2 linked regions of the Lepisosteus oculatus genome follow. The protein of the gene in region 2 purifies or fractionates together with the protein of the main gene of each other region. This does not show direct contact. Links are inferred from orthologs where the notes say so. Each region holds a gene or a part of one and is shown on either strand. Other genes may lie near its edges.

Region 1 (7,969 bases), on a different chromosome or scaffold from region 2:
CTGGAACACTGGAGCACCAGCTCTGCAGACTTCAGTATGATATGTTATTGGCAATGTAACACCAGTCACGCCGGCATACTCCGAGAATTAACACCAACAACCCTGACCCCCCACAATCCCAGGCAGTCAAAACTCACATCAGTGTGTTTGGTCATGGGGTTCAGTTTGAGGAACAGGGGGCTCTCGATGATCTCACAAACCTGCCCGGGGGGAGAGAGAGGCAGAGATAGACAGTGTTAAGACACTCTGAACCCACTAGGCATGCTGCAGCAAAGCTGGTTCCCCTGTACTGTACCCGTGTCCCAGCCTGCATAAGCTTGGACTCATTACAGAAGAGCTGCAGGCATAGAACCGGCTCACATGAAACGTGTGCAGATCAGGAGACCAGCCCTAGGAGGAGCCACTAGTCGGTCTGAGCAGCTACAAGATGACCCTGACTTCTAAGTGAAGAGAACATCCAGCACATAATCAGATGTACACAGCAGGGCGGACACTGCTAGAACCAATAAAGACAATGAAGAGCACCGAGAGAAACAGCAGGTGAGCAAATTATTGATGGTGTGATGGTGACGGCTTCGTAACTGAATGATCGGAGACTTGACAATGCAGGATGAGCTGCAGCTGCAATGTCCTGATGTGATCATTCTCCAGTGACCACTGGACTGCCGCCTGAGCACCCACCCACCTGCTTGTGAATGTGGATATCTGATTGGTCAGGAGGCCCGCCTGTTGTGTACCAGCCCAAGAACTCCATGTCCTTGAACACCTGCTTAACTGAGAGATGGAGCCGGAGAGAGAGAGGAATAAGAGGGAACATCAGGAGGAGAGAGGGAAGAAAATTGAAGATTATTTGTTTCAAAGCAATGCAACAGATTCAAAATTAAAAACATGCCCATCAGGCCCACTGTCCGACACCCACGCTCTCCCACTGACCCACGCCCCACTCACACTGCTCCTCCTTGGTGTAGTAGTATTCCTTGTCAATGACGGCTCGGTCATCCACTGTGTGGAAAAGCAGCTCAAACGAGTTCATCACCTCGATGTTCCGGCCTTCCTGCTTCCCAATCAGGGCTCCGATCACTGTGTGGGAACAACGCACCGAATCAGCACACACATTGTGAGCACACACTGACACAGACTCCACACACAGTCAGCAGGCACTGACAGTGTCCACACACACTGACACAGACTCCACACTGACAGTGTCCACACACACAGTCAGCACACACTGACACAGACTCCACAGACACTGATACAGATCACATCCACTGCATCACTAAAATCCCAGGCACACAATCCACCTTTAACCAAGAATATCCTTGTTCATACATTTACAGACAGTAGTTGGATTTAATCTGCACAAAGAACCAAAGTTACAGAAACAGTTGGCTTTTGCAGATGACTTTCCACACTGTCATTTGTTACAAGACAAGCAATGGAGAAGCTGGAAAGCCCCTCCGAGACACTCTGACCTTGCACGGCCCGTCCCTCCTGTGATCGCATGCGGATCCAGTGGTCAGAGATGTTGAGGATGACAAGGGGGTGAAGAGCCACTGAAACGCTGCCCGTCACCCCAGATGCCATGACACTGGGACTGACTGAGAGAAGGAGAAAGGATTAGTACTGACACACTGGACACTACAGTAATAATAATAATAATTAATAATTGCTTACAGTTATATAGCGCTTTTCTGGACACTCCACTCAAAGTGCTTTACAGGTAATGGGGACTCCCCTCCACCACTTCCAATGTGCAGCATCCACCTGGATGATGCGACGGCAGCCATAGTGTGCCAGTACTCTCACCACACATCAGCTATCAGTGGGGAGGAGAGCAGAGTAATGAAGCCAATTCATAGAGGGGGATTATTAGGAGGCCATGATTGGTAAGGGCCAATGGGAAATTTGGCCAGGATGCCGGGGTTACACCCCTACTCTTTTCGAGAAACACCCTAGGATTTTTAATGACCACAGGTTTTACATCTCATCCAGGTTTACAGTCTAGTGTCCCCGTCACTATACTGGGGCATTAGGACCCACATGGACTGCAGGGTGAGGGTGACTAGGCTCACACCTGCTTAGCTTCAGTGGGCTGCCAGTTGTGAGTTGCAGGGTGATATGGCTGAGTACATTAACACTGCACTGGGAGCGAGAGGGGTTAATACAGACACGCTGGACACTACAGTATATTAACAATGGTATAGGATAGGCTGTGTGTGATCACCTGGGATCTAACATTTCAAACACAATACAGAGAAACCAAGTGACAGTTCCGCACACAAAGTGGTTTAAAAACAAGCTACTCAGCCACCTTGCTGAAGCTGACACCCTGGCTTCATTCAAAATCCCGCTAGATCAATTATCTATCGAATGCCTTCTTATTTGCATCACGTATTTTCTTAATAAAACACGAGTCAGTTTGCCGGTTCTTTCAATAAAAAAAAAACAGATCAGGGGCGATTCTCAAATAAATTATACAAGAATCACTAAATGTATCTTCGTAAGCTTTATAACTCCATAAAATTAACAGATTGATGACAAATACTTATTAATTTCCAAATTTCTTAAACTACTGTACACAGACACAACAGATTAGTGAAGTGTTTGGAATCGTCAAAAACAAGAGTGACACCAAATTAAGCCAATCAATACACTTCTTTCAGAAAAAGGGCGGTACGTACTCACAGTCGTCCAATCAAACAGAAGAATACACAGCTCCTTGACCAATCAGTATGTATGTGAAGGGCAGCTGTTAAAAACATCGCTATACCCGGTTTATACCAAGACAAAATCATTTTTATCTCGCGCTTCGTTATTATTAGTCCCCGAAATGAGAATGTTTTGAGACACCAGCTGTCCACGAATGTTACCATTTTTTAAGTTAAAATGAAATGTACTTGAAAGCAGAGAATGTATTACCTGCCGCATCTACTTCCATTCCCCCGCCGTTGCTCGCCGCCATCTTGATCTCCGCGCAGCTCACACTGGCGCACCCGGGACGCGCATGTGCAGTAGGCCACGAGGAGGGACGTACTTGTGCACTATTACCCTGTCGCCAGTAGAGGGGCCTGCTCCCCCTAATAATAATTAATAATAATAATAATTGTAATAATAATAATTGCTTATACTGTTATAGCGCTTTTCTGGACACTCCACTCAAAGTGCTTTACAGGTAATGGGGTCTCCCCTCCACCACCACCAATGTGCAGCCCCACCTGGATGATGCGACGGCAGCCAGAGTGAACCAGAACACTCACCACACACCAGCTATCTGTAGGGAGGAGAGCAGAATGATGAAGCCAATTCATAGATGGGGATTATTAGGATAGCCAAGATTGGTAAAAACGGCAATGAGAAATTTCGCCAGGAGTTACACTCCTGCTCTTTTTGAGAAACACCCTGGTATTTTTAATGACCACAGAGAGTCAGGACCTAACTTTTACATCTCATACAAAGGTCTTTTTTACAGTATAGTGTACCTGTCGCTATAATGGGGCATTAGGATCCACATGGACTGCAGGGTGGGCGCCCCCTGCTGGCCCCACTAACACCTCTTCCAGCAGCAGCCTTAGTTTTTCCCAGGAGGTCTCCCATCCAGGTACTGACCAGGCTCACACCTGCTTAGCTTCAGGGGGGTTGCTAGTTGTGAGCTGCAGGGTGATATAGCTGCATATTAGCATAGTCCTGAAGCTGAAATTCCTTTCTTGGAAAGGCTCAGTGAGTGAGTCTACCTTCAACTCTGAAAGCGCTGAAACACGGAGTGAAGGAACTGAAAGAATTGAGACTGTGAGGGATTTTGGTTCTTGCATTTGGATTAATATAGTAAAAGAATACATTACATAACATGATGTAATCATTGGCTTATATTGGGTGTTATAATACGTAATGTGTATTCTTCTCTTTGTCCGTGATGTATGGGTCATGTATATATTATACAATGTTTATATTCTAGAATGTATAAAATATATACATTAGTTATTTTCTGCATGAAAAAGCACCTCTAGCTACTCCAGAAGTAGGCTGGATCCGAACAATGTAAGTAACTGTATTGAGAGAGTCAGGAGATCAAATTGTATTAATACAATAACCGTTAATAGCCTTCCGTGGTGTGAAATTTCAAAATGGTGTACAATAAAACAATCACACAGCTGAGACAAGATCCACACAAATTATAACACCCAATTAAGCAAACCAGCAAGCAAAACTAGAGACGCGGAGTGCATGTTTTTAGCCAAAGAGTTGCCGATGTCTGGAGCAAACCTGCGAGTAAAGACGGGGTGAGTTTCTGGGATGGATTAGCTGCGACCAGCAGTTTGATCTTTACTTCTTTTTTTTAATTCATGGAGCAATGCACCGCTTCTAGGAGCTCTGTGATTAGTAGTGAGTGGGTTTTATATAACAAAGAACTTGACCAACTAGTTCAACCGCGAGTTTTATTCTCATTTCGTAGCAGGAAAAGGGGTATAATGTATTTTACAAAAAACAATGCTCCGGCAGATATTTTGTGTTCCTGTCGCATTGAGCGAGAAAGCGTGTTATTTATTGTCTTATCTACTCAGCTTGTGGCTACGGAGTAATGCATATTTTGAACTGGACCACACCGACATTTTTAAGGGGAAACCTGAAACGTCAAACACGTCAACGTCAACTTCAAGCGCTCACTAATTACGTCATTCAGCTTGATCACCAATCAAGTGACACCATTGATTAACCAATGGTAGCTCCCAAGGTCGGACTGTGACCAATCGCAGCGCCAGCCCACAGATAGGGGCGGGACTAGTTCCTGACGTTCCTACCCGGTAAAGTCAACAGCGGTGGTCCTTTTGTTTACAGACTAGAATGGCCGCTGAGGGTAGCGGTTCTTTGGATTACTTCCCGGAAAACATTTTATTAGACATCTTATCGTACCTAAACGTGCGAGACTTGCTGAGAGCAGCCAGGTGAGGATTCTCAAGTCACTACCGGCATATGTTTATGTGTCACTGAAAGTGGTGCTTTAACTACAGGGTGACTCTTGCCCCGGACACACCTGTTGTTTTAGGAGTTGGTGTAGTGCAGGACTTCACTGTGGTCCCAGTGATAATCAAGATATACTCAACTGGTTCGGAAATGCAGTTCGTGGTCCTGGATGACGACGCCATTAAAACCCAACTACAGTAAATCCTCAGCGCTGTAGTTGCGTTCCCCAAAACATGCCTTTTAATGAGACTACGATTTCCTCATGACAAATGACAGAGAAGTCAATGTCTGCGTTCGTGGCTGTCAATTCACACCTTTACATTCATTCTTATTGATATTTCCCAACTATAGTCTGTGTTTTCAAGTGTAGACGCGTGTTTGTATTAGTATCATTATATGCGAGTATAATGAATTTGTGTATAAGTTTGTATTTGAATGTCTTTGTGTGTTTGCATCGGCCGTTTGCTTTAAACAGATTTCCTAACGCTAGTAAAAGAATACATTACATAACATGATGTAATCATTGGCTTATATGGGGTGTTATAATACGTAACGTGTATTCTTCTCTTTGTCCGTGATGTATGGGTCATGTATATATTATACAATGTTTATATTCTAGAATGTATAAAATATATACATTAGTTATTTTCTGCATGAAAAAGCACCTCTAGCTACTTCAGAAGTAGGCTGGAGTAGATCCGAACAATGTAAGTAACTGTATTGAGAGAGTCAGGAGATCAAATTGATCACTTGAAGGTAGATCAAGTGTCCACTGATCTGTCAAGACAAAACGGAGGTTTTGAAATGATTGTGATGTCAGCTGAGACCCTCAGCTGGGCTCATAGCTACACCAGACTTGAAGTGATACTTCATATCTGAACAGGTAAACAAGTGTCCTTTTCTTTCTGTGTTTGAGGCACCAGTTCCCCTAGACCAGGTGTCAGACTCAGTTCCTGTTGGGCTCATTGCCTCCCCACTTCTGGGCTACACAGTGGGCCTAATTATTTTATTAGCTGCAGAATTTTACCGCTTGTCACAGAGGTTTGAGAAATGGCCTGCGAAAGAGCTTTAGAAATATCCTGTAACTGCATAAGAAAATAATGAGACTCAGACTGAGGGGAAAACCTGAAGACACTGGGCTCTGCAGTTACAGGATGAGTTTGAGACGGTTCTAACATTCTCCAAGACGGGAGTCTCTTCAGTCCCTGCCACCTGAACAGACACAGAGCCAAGCGGCTCTGTTTTGGGGTTAATTTATGTTAGTGGTGTGTGTGGTATCTATACAGTACTTTTATTTTGTTGCATGTAGGTTGCAGTTAAAACAGTGCGTTTACAGGGGCAAAGTCACAGGAAACTGCTGTTATTTCCCATAAGAGCTTATTGATTTGTCCGGTGTTGACTTTTCAGGGTTGGTGAGGGATCCCTATGTTCATATATACTCCAGAACAAGCTGTGGAACCTCCTCTGCAAGTACCGATTTGAGATCTTCTGCCCGCTGGGTAGCTGTTTGACCTTTGGGCTCATAACAAGACTTGTTCCATAAACCTTTTCTCCCACTGCAGGGTGTGCAAGAGGTGGAAGAGGCTTATCCGTGACCACAGGCTGTGGAGACGTGTGGATTTAACCAAGTGCGGCGTGGTGAGTTGCCGTCTTGCCCAACTGTTCCTGTGACTTGCCAGTGGAGCTGCTCTGCGACAGAGTGCAGTGAGAGTCGAATTACCCGGAACTCTTCATCTGCAACCTGTCGCATCTTCGTACCCATAACTGACTGGAGCGCTTCACACTGTGCGGGGTCACCGCTGGGAGACTGTGATCTGTTCTAGCCCTCTTCACACTGGCCTGCCCGAGCTGAGCCATCGCGATGCAGCTAGCCCTGTTCGTTTTGTCAAGCTGAGCCATAACCAAGCCCAACACGCTTTGTTGTCCTATGCCGGGTCCCAGCAGGCCCGGGCCCTGCAGAGCAGGCTCCTGAAAGAGGGAAGTGACTGAGGGTCTTTTCTTGTGTTGATAATGGAAGCCCCAAATTCAGGACAGTACACCCGACAGCACAGCCTGATTTTCTTCTTCCATTCTGACAGGTGAACTCGAGGTTGCTGTGGTTGCTGGTGAGGCGGTACCTGGGCGCCGGACTGCGAGTGCTCTGTCTGAGGGGCCTTCTGTTTTCCGTCAGAAACCGCGCTCTCCTCTCTCAGCCCTGGCTGCAGGCGCTTGCCAGACAGTGTCCCAAGCTGCACTGTCTCATCCTGCTGCACGCTGACCTGAAGGAGGTGGGCAACTACCAGCGCCTGCCTGCCTCTCTGAAGACGCTAGAGCTCATTACCTGTGAGGTGCCGGGGGCATTCTTCCACAGCAGTGGTGTCAGCAGTGGGATCAGGATAGAGACCTTAGTTGTGGAAAACGTGTCCTCTTTCTCAGACCAGCACCTGAAAGCGCTGGGAAACTGGGAGACCCTGAGGAGGCTTGAGCTGAGGGATGCCTTCAGGGTGACAGAAGCTGGCATCCGTGGTTGTGCCAGCGGACACCTGACACAGCTGGAGAGCCTAGAACTCGGGAGGAAAGGCAGATGCTCCACGCAGAACGAGAGGGCGGCGGCGGGCATCGCAGAGGGACTGCCAGGCCTGGTGGAGCTAACCCTGGGTGGGGCTGAAGTGCTGAACGGGCTGCCTTGTCTCCCGCGCCTGGCCCGGCTGCGTTCCCTGCGGCTCCAGCACTCCTCCCTGTCCCCCGCTGACCTCCTGCCTGCCTGCCAGGAAGCGCCCTCCCTCCGCAGCGTGGTGCTCAGCGATGTCTCGTTCTCCAGCGCCGCCGACCAGGACTCCATCCAGCAGGGCTTGCTCCATTGCGCTGTGACTTGCGTCCGCTGCACTGCAAGGGCTGTGCAAAGTTAGGCCTCACAAAGCAGGACAAAGGCAGTGCCCTCGGTCAGCCAGCAATGGTCAGACATTTGCCTCTTGGAGATCTCTCCCTTTGTTTTGTAAAGGGTTTGTTTTTTCCAGGCAATTTATTAATT
Region 2 (7,234 bases):
TGTCAGAGTGTCTGGACAGTGTGTCCACACAGTGTGTCAGTGTGTTCTCCTAGACTCAGTGTCAGTACAGTGTGTCAGAGTGTCTGGACAGTGTGTCCACACAGTATGTCAGTGTGTTCTCCTTGACAGTGTCAGTACAGTGTGTCAGCATGTCTGGACAGTGTGTCTGCACAGTGTGTCAGTGTGTTTTCCTAGACTCAGTGTACAGTGTGTCTGGACAGTGTGTCAGTGTGTTCTCCTAGACTCTGTGTCTGTACAGTGTGTCAGTGTGTTCTCCTAGACTCTGTGTACAGTGTGTCAGTGTGTCTGTACAGTGAGTCAGTGTGTCAGTGTTTCTGGACAGTGTGTCAGTGTGTTCTCCTAGACTCAGTTTCTGGACAGTGTGTCAGTGTGTCAGTACAGTGTGTCAGTGTGTTCTCTTAGACTCAGTGTCTGGACAGTGTGTCAGAGTGTCTACACAGTGTGTCAGTGTGTTCTCCTAGACTCAGTGTCTGGACAGTGTGTCAGTGTGTCTGTACAGTGTGTCAGTGTGTTCTCTTAGACTCAGTGTCTGGACAGTGTGTCAGGATGTCTGGACAGTGTGTCAGTTTGTTCTCCTAGACTCAGTGTCCCTGCAGGAAGCCCGTGAGAGACACAGTGCTGCACTCTTACCTCCTCAGTAGGTACGCCAGCACTTGCGCTAAGTCGACGTCCTCCTCTGCTGCGGACCCTCTGTCGCTCTGCTCCTCTGCCCCTCTGTCCAACTGTCTCCTCGCCTGTCTGCGGCTTTGCTGGCCCCGGTTCTGGCTGCGTTCTGGCTCTGTCTCGTCTGGGTCACCACTGGAGGCCCGACCGGACATCCCAGAACTGGACTGAGAGCCCATAGACCGACACTTTGAGAAAGGTAAAGACAGGAATTAACACAGACACACTGACTGACTGGACACTCCAGTACATTAACACTGCACTGAGAGAGAGGGGTTCATACAGACACACTGACTGACTGGACACTCCAGTACATTAACACTGCACTGAGAGAGAGGGGTTCATACAGACACACTGACTGACTGGACACTCCAGTACATTAACACTGCACTGAGAGAGAGGGGTTCATACAGACACACTGACTGACTGGACACTCCAGTACATTAACACTGTACTGAGAGAGAGGGGTTCATACAGACACACTAACTGGACACTCCAGTACATTAACACTGCACTGAGAGAGAGGGGTTCATACAGACACACTGACTGGACACTCCAGTACATTAACACTGCACCGAGAGAGAGGGGTTAATACAGACACACTGACTGGACACTCCAGTACATTAACACTGCATTGAGAGAGAGGGGTTAATACAGACACACTGACTGGACACTCCAGTACATTAACACTGCACTGAGAGAGAGGGGTTCATACAGACACACTGACTGGACACTCCAGTACATTAACACTGCACTGAGAGAGAGGGGTTCATACAGACACACTGACTGGACACTCCAGTACATTAACACTGCACTGAGAGAGAGGGGTTCATACAGACACACTGACTGACTGGACACTCCAGTACATTAACACTGCACTGAGAGAGAGGGGTTCATACAGACACACTGACTGACTGGACACTCCAGTACATTAACACTGCACTGAGAGAGAGGGGTTAATACAGACACACTGACTGACTGGACACTCCAGTACATTAACACTGCACTGAGAGAGAGGGGTTCATACAGACACATTGACTGACTGGACACTCCAGTACATTAACACTGCACTGAGAGAGAGGGGTTCATGCAGACACACTGACTGACTGGACACTCCAGTACATTAACACTGCACTGAGAGAGAGGGGTTCATACAGACACACTGACTGGACACTCCAGTACATTAACACTGCACTGAGAGAGAGGGGTTCATACAGACACACTGACTGACTGGACACTCCAGTACATTAACACTGCACTGAGAGAGAGGGGTTCATACAGACACACTGACTGGACACTCCAGTACATTAACACTGCACTGAGAGAGAGGGGTTCATACAGACACACTGACTGACTGGACACTCCAGTACATTAACACTGCACTGAGAGAGAGGGGTTCATACAGACACACTGACTGGACACTCCAGTACATTAACACTGCACTGAGAGAGAGGGGTTCATACAGACACACTGACTGACTGGACACTCCAGTACATTAACACTGCACTGAGAGAGAGGGGTTCATACAGACACACTGACTGGACACTCCAGTACATTAACACTGCACTGAGAGAGAGGGGTTCATACAGACACATTGACTGACTGGACACTCCAGTACATTAACACTGCACTGAGAGAGAGGGGTTCATACAGACACACTGACTGACTGGACACTCCAGTACATTAACACTGCACTGAGAGAGAGGGGTTCATACAGACACACTGACTGGACACTCCAGTACATTAACACTGCACTGAGAGAGAGGGGTTCATACAGACACACTGACTGACTGGACACTCCAGTACATTAACACTGCACTGGGAGAGAGGGGTTAATCAGTAATTCGTCTAGTTTCCTCACTCGCCAAAATCGAAACGGCAGTTGTTCAGTGTCAAAATGCTTTCCTTATACTCCTCGACTAATTAACCAAGCTAATTATCTAATCAAATTAAATGTATCGTTATGTTACACCGACGACACGGGAAGACTCGCGTCTATTTCAGTGAATTAATCCCCTTCCGAAAATGACAATCATAAAAAGGCTCAATGAACACTTAACAAGAAACTCAACAGATAAATAGAAAATACAGTACCTGGTGAAATTTGTATTTAGGGCTTCGTTCGCGGATCGCGTTGTTGTCTTGCACGTTCTTCCTTTAACAATCAATAGGCTTATCAATACTAGCGAATCGATACTGCTTGGGTTTTTTTTTATTGTCACTGCTTGAGTTTACGTTAAGGAATAATCCCCAGGTAGGCCCCGGTCTTTTCTCTCCGAGTCGCCATGTTGTTTACATCGACGAGCTTTGCCCCCGCCGCGGTCACATGACCGGCCCATCGCCAAGGACACCCAGCCACCGAAGGGCTCCATTTTGCTTCCTCGTTGACATGGATTGCCAGCGCGCAGTTGGAAACTGGAGCCAAAATGGCCGTCCGACGGGTGGAAGCGGAGCTCCAGAACTGTCACTCTCTGAAGTGACATCAATCCGTCTGTCACCGCATCCCACACGGTGATTGGCTGATCCTGACGTCACCTCGCAGTAAGTGGAAGGATACGGTCCAGTTAATTTATTTTTCCTCTTTTCTGGTAACAAATTCAAGAGTTAACTGAAATGTGATACATAAGTGCAATTAATTTAAATTCATCAGACAATGTGCAATAGATATTGCAACCTGATACATTCTGGGGTTTGACAGTTTCGTACACTGACAAATAGAGAAGCCTATGAGTTTTCCCTTCTTTACACAAAGAGTGGTGGGAGTGTGTAACAAGCTGCCCAGCCATGTTCCTGAAGCCGATACCCTGGCTGCTCTCAAGAAACAGCTGGATGAGATCTTGGGGTTAATGAGCCACTAATTACAAAACTAATTACCAAACAGGTTGGATGAACCGAGTGGCCTCGTCTCGTTTGAGACCTGTCTTGTGTTCCATCCAACTTTATCAGGTACAGGGTCGTGTGGGAGAGCTGCAGCAGGCAAGGGCCACAAGGAAGAACACCAGTCCATCACAGGACACACACAGACACACACTCTCACACACCCTGGACAGGACGCCAGTCCATCACAGGACACACACAGACACACTCTCTCACACACCCTGGACAGGACACCAGTCCATCACAGGACACACACACAGACACACACTCTCACACACCCTGGGCAGGACACCAGTCCATCACACGACACACACAGACACACACTCACACACCCTGGACAGGACACCAGTCCACCACAGGACACACACAGACACACACTCTCACACACCCTGGACAGGACACCAGTCCATCACAGGACACACACACACACACACACACACACACACACACTGTCACACACCCTGGACAGGACGCCAGTCCATCACAGGACACACAAAGACACACACTCACACACCCTGGACAGGACGCCAGTCCATCACAGGACACACACACACACTGTCACACACCCTGGACAGGACGCCAGTCCATCACAGGACACACACAGACACACACTCTCACACACCCTGGACAGGACACCAGTCCACCACAGGACACACACAGACACACACACACTCTCACACACCCTGGACAGGACATGGGTCCATCGCAGGACACACACAGACAAACACTCTCACACACCCTGGACAGGACATGGGTCCATTGCAGGACACACACAGACAAACACTCTCACACACCCTGGACAGGACACCAGTCCATCACAGGACACACACACACACACACACTCTCACACACACACTGGACAGGACGCCAGTCCATCCCAGGACACACACAGACACACACTCTCACGCACCCTGGACAGGACACCAGTCCATCACAGGAAACACACAGACACACACTCTCACACACCCTGGACAGGATACCAGTCCATCACAGGACACACACAGACACACTCTCACGCATCCTGGACAGGACACCAGTCCATCACAGGACACACACACACTCTCACACACCCTGGACAGGACACCAGTCCATCACAGGACACACACAGACACACACTCACACACCCTGGACAGGACACCAGTCCATCACAGGACACACACACACACACACACTCTCACACACACTGGACAGGACGCCAGTCCATCCCAGGACACACACAGACACACACTCTCACGCACCCTGGACAGGACATCAGTCCATCACAGGACACACACAGACACACACTCTCACGCACCCTGGACAGGACACCAGTCCATCACAGGACACACACACACACACACACACACCCTGGACAGGACACCAGTCCAGCTCAGGTGTGATGGAGCCCCTGCAGGAGACATTATTATTATTATTATTATTATTATTATTATTATTATTGTTGTTCTTTTACCAGGACTTGGAGCCCTGCTGTAGACACTAGTCTACAGCAATAACAGATTATTATTATTGTTGATGATAATAATAATAATTGACTGGGAGCCCCTGCTGTAGACACTGGTCTAGCTGCTGTCTCATCATCCAGCTGCACATTGTCCCATATAAGTGTAAGGAATTATTTTATTATTATTATTATTATTATTATTATTATTAATCCAGGACTGGGGGCCCCTGCTGTAGACACTGGTGCTGTCTGGTGGGCAGTGGGCTGTTCGGAAGCTCTAGACACCCGTACCCGTTCCTAAGAGGACTAGACTTGACTTGAGGCCAACAGCTCTGGCTCCATGAGCGAGCAGGACTCTTGAAGAAGCAGGCCAGTCCCATACCATGGCCGCAGTACAGTCAGGTCCCGGCCCCCTCCAGTTGGCCTGCTGTCCTGGAAGGGGAGCCCATGATGCTAAGATTTTTCTTTTAGAAGTCCAGGTCCATTCTCGAGGACCCCAGTCATCCCAGTCACAAACTGTTTTCTCTTACGCATTCGGTCAAAGTCCGACAGATCAGGGAACAGCTTCTACCTCCAGGCAATAAGACCGCTAAACAGCCAAGCTGCAGCTCCTTCAGCAAATCACCTGTACTGGCTACAGGGACACACAGTTTCACCGTATTCAGCATAACTGCACTACTGGGACACACTGTACTGCACACACCCTGGACACAGAGCAGCTCCATTGATATCTATACTGAGCTCTGTCTGACTTTATCTCATTCAATTTCTAGTGCACTGTTATCGATCATTATTTCACCTTATTTTGCAACTTTAATTTTGTGATTCCCCCCCCGTGAGCTTGTAGAACAGACATTTCACTGCCAGCAACTACTGCTGCACGTGGTATTGTTGTGCGTTTGATAAATAAACTCCGACTGATTGATTGAACCTTTGATTGATTCTGTATAAGCACTTAGAATAAATCAGCTGCCAGACTTGTGTTTGCTGTGTCCTCATCAGCCTTTCACACAATGCAGCCACACATTTTGGTTGAAAACCTAATCACAGGTTTCAGATGGGATCATCAGCTGATCATGTGCATCGTTAGTTTTCTGGCCAATAAAACACAAAATGTATCTGTTAATGGTTTGGCCTCTGACTCCATTTGTAGTTCTGCTGGATCACCACCAGGCGGTGCTATTTCCCCCTTCTCTTCCTCTTATATAGCGATGGCGGTAGCCATCGAAGCAACTCTGAAAATCATTACATCACCAGGCCTGCTGGTGAGAGTGTACTAGTGTCCCTCCTCTCAGAGCCTGGATGAGCACACAGACCCAGTCCGGATGAATTCGGCAACTGGTCTGATACTTCTTACCAGGAGATGAAGGGTGGTGTGGTGGCTCTGTGGCTCAGGATCTGCGCCTGTGACTGGAAGGCTGCCGGTTCGAATCCCACGGCTGGCAGAGGAATCCTACTGCCAGGCCCTTCACCCCAGCCCCTCTAAGGGTGCTGTACAAATGGCTGACCCTGCGCTCTGACCCCCAGCTTCTTCCCCTGTCTGTGTGTCTCATGGAGAACAAGCTGGGGTCTGGGAAAAGACAAATTCCTAATGCAAGCGATTGTATAGGGCCAATAAAGTGATCGTATCTTATTTTATAAAGGTGTCAGAAACAAAAGAAATGACTGTTGATTTGAAAAACATCATTCCCACAGCGATCCATGGTGGGGGGTCTGGTGGTGTAGTCCACTGCGTTGGACGATGAACTCAAGTTTCTTGTGGAGTAATCGCATACAGCGCTGGTGTGGTCTGAGACACCCGAACTCCTTCGGAGCCCGCAAAAGACTTCTCTCACCATTCTGTAGCACTTTCATCCAAAAGTATTTTAGATCACATCAGATCACATCAGATCGAACGTCTGCTGGTTCACATCACTCGGCCACCATTGACCAACTCGGCCTTAGAACGCTGTGGCCCTCAGCTGTCGAGGCCCTGGAGGGCCTTTCAGACCCCTGTGGCAGCTGGGAGCCCAGCAGGGCGCCACCACTGAGCGCCCACCTCGATCCCACAGCCCTCTGCAGGCTCCCGGGCAACGGGCTTCGGGAAGAGCTTTCCTCTGTCCGCAGGGCAGGACGAGCAACGGGACCTTCAGCTTGGTTTCCAGAGGCCAGCCGGCTCTCAACCGATCAACAGGTGTAAGTAAAGAAGTTTAACAATAATCCTTACTCTTCATAATCCTTAATCCTAAATAA

What was found. The genes of interacting proteins can lie anywhere in the genome.
Region 1: the proteins of dcaf11 (region 2) and cops6 purify together in Homo sapiens (affinity purification with mass spectrometry; 6 studies listed by BioGRID and IntAct, counting the BioPlex papers as one, with this or other methods). This does not show direct contact. The link is inferred for Lepisosteus oculatus from reciprocal best matches to the Homo sapiens genes DCAF11 and COPS6.

What each region holds. Positions count from the first base shown.
Region 1 is NC_090698.1:12,443,029-12,450,997, forward strand, and holds the start of cops6 (COP9 signalosome complex subunit 6), read right to left. Parts: upstream 3,018-7,969; 5' UTR 2,963-3,017; coding exon 2,920-2,962; intron 1,599-2,919; coding exon 1,473-1,598; intron 1,081-1,472; coding exon 949-1,080; intron 775-948; coding exon 686-774; intron 201-685; coding exon 138-200; intron 1-137. Other genes in the region: F-box/LRR-repeat protein 12, read left to right, coding at 4,840-4,940, 6,522-6,597, 7,038-7,847. UniProt on the Homo sapiens protein: Component of the COP9 signalosome complex (CSN), a complex involved in various cellular and developmental processes.
Region 2 is NC_090699.1:14,359,368-14,366,601, reverse strand, and holds the start of dcaf11 (DDB1- and CUL4-associated factor 11), read right to left. Parts: upstream 3,015-7,234; 5' UTR 2,779-3,014; intron 873-2,778; 5' UTR 864-872; coding exon 652-863; intron 1-651. UniProt on the Homo sapiens protein: May function as a substrate receptor for CUL4-DDB1 E3 ubiquitin-protein ligase complex.